Mus musculus: one gene and its partner. The protein of the gene in region 2 interacts with the protein of the main gene of each other region in a pairwise test. Links are inferred from orthologs where the notes say so. Each region holds a gene or a part of one and is shown on either strand. Other genes may lie near its edges.

Evidence for each region.
Region 1: the proteins of Pnkp (region 2) and Zfp639 interact in binary tests that used the Homo sapiens proteins (3 or more experiments, as listed by UniProt). The two-hybrid records come from large-scale screens. The link is inferred for Mus musculus from reciprocal best matches to the Homo sapiens genes PNKP and ZNF639.

The regions. Positions count from the first base shown.
Region 1 is NC_000069.6:32,517,092-32,520,591, reverse strand, and holds part of Zfp639 (zinc finger protein 639), read right to left. Parts: coding exon 3,453-3,500; intron 1,483-3,452; coding exon 1,348-1,482; intron 1,061-1,347; coding exon 1-1,060. UniProt on the Homo sapiens protein: Binds DNA and may function as a transcriptional repressor.
Region 2 is NC_000073.6:44,855,696-44,859,945, forward strand, and holds the start of Pnkp (bifunctional polynucleotide phosphatase/kinase), read left to right. Parts: upstream 1-1,450; 5' UTR 1,451-1,524; coding exon of another isoform or gene 1,525-1,557; 5' UTR 1,558-1,699; coding exon of another isoform or gene 1,700-1,708; coding exon 1,709-1,859; intron 1,860-2,467; coding exon 2,468-2,514; intron 2,515-2,757; coding exon 2,758-3,054; intron 3,055-4,027; coding exon 4,028-4,107; intron 4,108-4,192; coding exon 4,193-4,250. UniProt on the Homo sapiens protein: Plays a key role in the repair of DNA damage, functioning as part of both the non-homologous end-joining (NHEJ) and base excision repair (BER) pathways.

The DNA of each region.
Region 1 (3,500 bases), on a different chromosome or scaffold from region 2:
GAATGCTTGAAATCTAGATGAATTTTAAGATCGTCAATTTGTCCTGTTGAATATTCACAATATTGGCATAAGTAAATCCCTTCAGATAGATGTGAATTTAGATGCTTGCAATATTCCAACATGCTGGAAAAGCCCTTCCCACAGTCATCACAAACATGAGGGAATATTTTAGTATGCTCGATAGCCACGTGTCTGTTGACATTTGTGTGAAGTCTGCTCCGAAAGCCACATACTTGACACACGAAGAAATTTTTACATTTGTCAAAGGTGATCTTGCTTAAAAGGCTGCACTGCCCATGGCCACCACTGCCACACTTGTCACTCAGCTCAATCAGTCTGCGAGCGTGCTCGTTGACAACGTGGCTGTGCAAGTCCTCAGGGTCCCCTGTCTCGTGCTCACAGAACTGGCACAGGTACTGCTCATCACGGCTATGCTCCTGGAAGTGCAGGTAGAGCTCACTGCTTGAGGAGAACTGCACGTCACACTGCTCACACCAGTAAAGGTGGTCGCTGAAGTGCGTGTCTGCAATGTGCTGGCTGAGGTTCTCAAAGATCACAGTCTTGTAATCACAGTACTTACAGATGTAGGGGTCTTCTTCATGGAGTTTGGCGTGTTCAATGAGAAGCATGTTGGTAGAGAAGCTTTCCTTACACACCCGACACACATTCGAGTCAGTGCGCTTGTGTTTCAGGATCACATGTTGCTTTAGGTCAGAAAAGTATTTACTGTTAAATTCACAAAGTTCACACTTGTAGAGACCACTGCTGTTGGCTCTCAGGAGAGGCCACTTCTGTTGGGCAGTCACATTCAAAGCCTGGCCCTTGTCAAGAATTTTACAGAGTTTAGCTGGTGGTTCTTCATCGGCCTGGTCTTGGAGGCTCTCAGAGGAATTGTTCTCTGCCTCTATATCATAGTCTTCAGAGATTGCATGAACTTCTACAGCAATTGGGACGTCTTCTGAGGTATGAACTTCTATAGGGCTCTCCTCTTGAGTATGCTGATGCACTGACTCAGGTGAGGCACATTCTTCATCACAGATCTCAACTTCAGTAGATTTTTCTGAAACGAAGAAAACCCACAGTTGTAGTACTGTACTAAATAAGCCCCATTAGAAACAATCATTCCATTGTTGAAGTCCTGTGCTCAATACACTCATTAGAGACAGTAGCCCCACTGCTGTCACACTGTGCTAATAAAGCCCCATTAGAAACAGCCGTCCTCACTGCTGTAGCACTGCACTTAATAAGCCTAGTTAGAAACAATCCTGTGAAAGGAAGTTACAGTATGTGCTGCTTTTAGCTGATCTGAACCAGAGATTCTAAATGCTATGAATGAGTTCCCCTAACCTGTGGAAAAGACAGTGTGGTCTAGAATCCTAAGCACAGGGCTGGGAACCAGGTAGCTCTGATTCCTGTTTCTGGCCTTGGTTCCATCTGCAAATTTGGGCAAGTCATTTGCTGTCTCAGGATCAGAATCATCATCTGTAAGAAGAATTTGGAAAAACATTTTATATCAAAGCATTAAGAATCATAAAATATTATTTTTTAACAGCAATAGAAACTAACAACTTAGACTTAGCCTTGAAAGGACATATTACTTATTATAGATTGCTAAAGACATTGAGAATATATCAGAATAACCTGCACCCCACTGCCTTTGTTTATATGTTCCTTATATTAGAACACACTCTGAACATCCTAAGGAGCTTAAGGTACTGAGTGAGATTGAATCAATATTCCTTTACTCTAGTCTCATTCTCTCCAACTTAGCACAGAAACTGAAATAAGGGTCAACAGAGAAACTGGACGGCAACATGTGTGTTTTAATAGACTTTGTTTTTAAAAGAAGAGTTTTAGGGGAAAAATTGTGAAAATAGTATAAGGTGTTCCTAATACATCATAAGCATTTCCCTACTATTAATTATTTATATGAATATGAGGCATTTGTTACTATTAATAACTGACACACGACTACTGGTGCCAATACATTGTTAGTAATGGAAGCCCATACTTCATTCAGACTTAATTGGTTTTACCCAGTGTCATTTTGGATCCCATATTAAATTTAACCATGTCTCTGTAGGTAACTGGAAACTGACTGTTCTAAGGACTACTTTACAGACATTTTGTAATGTCCCATTAATGAAATTTACCTATTTTTTTTTCATGACTAGATTATAATTATGAGTTACTGGAGGGCAGAACCCTAGGGTACACACTGCTGAACTGCCCCTCCCAACCTGGCATTTTGGTTTCTATACTGTCTTTCTCCTACCCTTCTCCCTGGAAGTCACTGTGAAGCCCACACTAAGAAGTGGAGCGTTGTTCCCATCTCCCTAAGGAAGAACACTGATATAAATGGAATTCTTTTGTGCAGACAATTTTTCTCTTCTATCCCTATATATTCACAATATCATTTATAACAGTATAGATTCATGTTTTCTCAAATTACTTCAGTTTTGGCTATTTGGAGCTTTCCTTTTGTCTTCAGTGCTGAAGTGGAAGCCAGGGCCTCATGTGTGGTAGACAAGCAATCTGTCAGCTGAGCTCCAGAGCCCTCAAGAGCACCTCCAACTGGCTCTTGTGCTCCTTTAGTTCATCCATGCTGCCTGTCATTTTGCTTTTTAATATTTCTCTATTTTCCAGCACCACAAGAGAATCCAAACACATCTTGTCTATTTCCTTCCCAGATCTAGAAGCAGCCATGTCTGTAGGGGCCTTAGTTCCTTGGTATTATAAACCAAGATCTGGACATAAAATGTGCTCACTACTATGATACTTCTTTTAGGCCTCTCAACTAAAAAAGCACAACAGCTTTGTGAATAATTCCCACAGGTGTAAGATGCAGGTCTGTGAGCAGGTCTGTGTGTGAGCATGCGAGACAGTTCTGTGTCAGACATGGGCTCTCACTTACGACTTTGTCACAGATGGGAAGCAGCAGCGGGTGCATCTTCTTACCACTTACTTACCAGCGCTCTAGAAAGGAGCAGGCGACTGAAAATGTGAGACTGAGGGACACCAAGCAGCCGCTCTCCATCTTTCCTTCCCCTCCATCAGCACTCCAGGCTGAGACAAGTGGGCAAGGTGCTTTCTAACACTTGACTACCAACACTCCACCTTTACATCACGTCCCATTTGTATCAACTCTTAGCCAACTAAAAAGGACTTAAAGAGTTTGCTTAAAAATGGAAATTACTAATTTGATTTTTAAAGCTTATTTTTTTAATTATAACAATTAAAAATGTTTTCCTGTCTTGAAACCATAAACTCGCAAACTACCTTTTCGGATAGTTCCCAAGAGAAAATACACAAAGGCAGCTTTTGCTTATTTTTCTGTAGTACTACAAAGGAGTCGGGTCTTGCATGGTAAGCAGAAACTTACCCACACTGAGTCATCCCTAGGTTCTGTAAAAGCAAGTTACACAGAGTATTCAGGAAAACAGGATACATACCTTTGTTGTCAAAATATTTTAAGTCTGGCTGTCTCATAGAGCAGACAC
Region 2 (4,250 bases):
GTGCTGGGATTTCCAATCTGCCCCATCATACCGAGCTTTAGCGTATTTGTCCCAGAATTAGAAGCGATTTTCCCACTTTATTGCAAAGGGACCGGCATCATAGAAGCAAAGGAAGAGTGTATAGTGATGCTATGCGCTTCAAATGCTAAGGACAAGCTGGTTTGTTTCCGCTGCTACGCAGAGGAATGATGAAGGCGCACATCTGTCATTCCATCAGCAGGGAGATGGGTTTAAGGAGGCACAGGTGTTCACGTCAGTCTAGACTTTTTGAGACCATGCCTCAAAGAACAAAAAAAACCGTGAGCAGTGGCGCACACCTCTAATTCTAGCACTTGGGAGACAGGAGCAGGTGAATCCCCTGGTATCAAAAAGTAAAACAACCCATCAATGGCCAAGTGTGATGGCATTTTCTTCCTTCCTCTCCCCCCCCCCAGCTTTTAGAGCGTGTTTTTCAAGATAGGGTTTCTCTGTGTAGCCCTGGTTGTCCTGGAGCCCTTCTGAAGACCAAGCTGTCACTAAACTGAGATCTGCCTGCCTCTGCCTCCACTTCCCCAGTTTTAGAATGAAAGACGTGCGCTGCCAACCTGTCTGTAGAGCTCTATTTTAATACTAATATTTGGAAGACAGACAGATCCCGAAATTTGAGCCCAGTTTGGGTGTATGGTGGATTAACATACACGCCAAAAAAAAAAAAAAAAAAAAAACTTGTCTGGGCTGAAAGATAACTGCAGCCGGACTTTTTGATTTCGCTCATAGAAGGGGAGGCAAGGTCATGGGACCCTGACCTTAGTACCCAGCTGTTCCTCACAAGCAACTATATGCAATTTTGCCCTAGTTGCCTGTGGTTTGGGGAGGGGCTAGAGGATACTGGTGAGGGGGAAGGGAAGGGAAGGGCTCTGTCTGTGCAGTATGAAATGAGGCTTCATTTCTGCTAGATGAAAACTGCCCCGTGTGTTTTTTTGCAGGTAGCAACACAACCACCACCACCTATGCTCTGCAAGCCCAATATAGTCGGCTTCCCCAGAATGCTCTGTGGTGGAATCATATTTCAGGTTATATATACTTCAGGCCTTTGGAGAAGGGTAGGCATTTTTTAGGTCTTCCCCAGGAGAGCAACTTCCTCTTTATTTTATTTTTGCGGTGGGGGCAGAATCTTACTATGTAGACCAGGCTGGGCTCTGCCTGCCTCTGCCTCCCAAGTACTAGGATTAATATTAAACTCATGTGCCACCATGCCTAGGAAAGAATTTTAACAAGGCTACATCCTGAGAACCTGTCTCACTAAAACATACATACATACATACATACATACATACATACATACAAGAAAATCAAAACAAAAACAAGTAACTCTAGCGTAGGGATCAAGTGACTATGGATGCGAGTGACCCCTATCCGCTCTGGCTCAGAGCGCCTCAAGCGAGTCAGGACTGCGCATGCGCCGTGGGAGGAGCCAAATTTTCGAACAGTCTTTCCCATAGCATAGATGAGCTTTGGAATGAATTCAGAAGTGACTCTACCTATATGCAATCCTCACTGCGCATTGGAACCGTTGTGGTAGCTTGGGAAACGTCGAACCCGCCCATGGGCAAGGGGCGGAATTTCCGGTGTGGCTCGCATTGGGAAAGCAGAACTTCCGGTGGCGGGTGGGTTGCCGGCTGCTGAGCAAGCTCCACTGTGATTCTGTTCCCCTTCACAGCATCCGAGGATGTCACAGCTTGGATCCCGGGGCCGCCTGTGGCTGCAGAGCCCCACCGGTGGGCCGCCCCCTATATTCCTGCCGTCGGATGGCCAAGCCCTGGTCCTCGGTCGGGGACCCCTGACCCAAGTGACGGACCGGAAGTGCTCCCGAAACCAAGGTGGGCACGGGAATGGAACTGCTGCAGAGTGGGATTGGAAGGAAGCAGGGGAGCCTATGCCTAGCCAGAAGCAAGACGAGGCATTATGGGAGGGACAGAGAGGATCTGGGAGATTGTCACCGGAGGGGAGAAGGACAACAGAGAGACGGTCGCTGGGCAGGCTACATCAGGCGGTGATGCATCAAGCCATGCCCAAGACCTCGGTCTACCCCATGTATCTCATGGGACAAAGCAGACCCTACAGATAAAAAAAATACCTGTTCTGGACAAGTCCGTGTCTCTAGCAATCCTAGGGACTCCGAAGTACCTGTTATTATTGAGGAATAAACTGGCTCGGGGGGGGGGGGGGGGGGCAGACACCCCTGTCATCCAGAGAATTGGGTGGTAGAGGCATGAGAATCAGTTCAAGCCCAGCCGCTAGTATGTAGCGAGTTCAAGGCTATCCTGGGCTACCTGTGTTGGGGGATTGAGGAAGGAAGGGAGAAAGTGCCTCTCTTACTTAAGTCCTAGGGAGAAAGTGCCTCTCTTACTTAAGTCCTAGTAGTAGACTGTAGTTGGCCACGCCCCTGTACGTGATGTAAACCCTGACTCCACCCCCTTACCCTCAGTGGAGCTGATTGCAGACCCTGAAAGCCGGACAGTGGCAGTGAAACAGGTACCAGTGTCTTGGCAGCGGGTAGCAAGGACTTGGGAGAGGGGCCGGGTAGATGACAACCCTTCAGAAGGCTGGTCAGCTTTCCGCTTTAACACCGTGCCAGACTAGAAGCCACTAACCTTTCAAAGTTCTGACTGGCCACACGAAGTGAATAGGTGGGAAGATTAAAAATTGATTGGGAGCTAAGGTATTGGATTTGGTGGGGCGGGGTGGTGCCAACCCTAGCTCCTCCTTTGTCTGCAGCTGGGTGTTAACCCGTCAACTGTTGGGGTCCAGGAGTTGAAGCCAGGACTGTCTGGCTCTCTAAGCTTGGGGGATGTCCTTTATCTGGTTAATGGCCTATATCCCCTGACCCTGCGTTGGGAAGAGCTCAGCACATCAGGATCCCAGCCAGATGCTCCACCAGACACTCCTGGGGATCCGGAGGAGGGAGAGGATACTGAGCCTCAGAAAAAGCGAGTTCGGAAATCCTCTCTTGGCTGGGAGAGCTTAAAGAAGTTACTGGTGTTCACAGCGTCTGGGGTGAAGCCCCAGGGCAAGGTGAGGCCGCCACCCCTGCTGCCACCCAGGCTAGCCAGTTAATGTAAAGTTTCCTGTGCAGCCCTGAGCTAGTCTTATCAAAGTTCCTGAGCCTCAACTGTTCTGTGCAGAGAAGACTGAGACCCCAGTGGTGCCGCCACCACTGAGGTACAGGGTACAGGTCAGGCCCTGTAATCAGTGGTGACCTTTCTTGGATCACTCTGAAATGAGGCCACAGAAAATTCACGGCCTAGTTTCCTGTGGCCACTCAGCCAACAGTGAGGTTTGTTTTTTTAAGAATTGATATGACCTGGCACTCGGGAGGCAGAGGCAGGCGGATTTCTGAGTTCGAGGCCAGCCTGGTCTACAAAGTGAGTTCCAGGACAGCCAGGGCTATAAAGAGAAACCCTGTCTCGAAAAAAAAAACAACAACAACAAAAATCAAAAAAAAAAAAAAAAAAGAATTGATATGAGCCTGCATGATTTTCTGTGTACTGTATGCAGGTGGCTGCAGAGGCCACAGAGCATTGGGTGCCCTGGAGCTGTAGTTACAGGCAGTTATGGGCCATCTGACATTTGTGTGCTCCTAACCACTGAGTCTAACCACTGAGCCATCTCTCCAACTCTTCCAACAAAGCCCTTTGCTCCTTCTGGGCTGTTAGTTCTCCAAGGAGATGCTCAGAGAAAAAGGATTTGTGAGACACTGGTTCCTACTAAAAAAAAAAAAACAAACAAACTGGAAGTGGAGGGCAGAGGACACAGAAGGATAATACTGGTATTTAAAGGCTGGTGTCTCCAGGTACACGCCTTCAGTCCCTATACCTGGGAGGCAGAGGGAGGCAGATCTCTGTGAGTTCAAAGCCAGTCTGGTCTGTAGAGTGAGTTCCAAGACAGCCAAGGCTACACAGAGAAACCCTTGACTTGAAAAGGAAGACAGTAAGCCTGTAAGGAAGGTCAGAGGTGACAGTATTGTTGTCCCTGTTGGTGATACCAGGTGGCTGCCTTTGACCTAGATGGGACCCTCATCACCACCCGCTCTGGAAAGGTCTTCCCCACTAGCCCTAGTGACTGGAGGTGAGGTGGGACATGGGAGGCGGCTGGGCTGGGTGCCCAGAGTTCTTTAGATCACAAGTCACCTGCTACTTCCCGTCCACCTTAGGATTCTGTACCCAGAGATTCCAAAGAAGCTCCAGGAGCTGGCTGCTGAAGGCTACAAG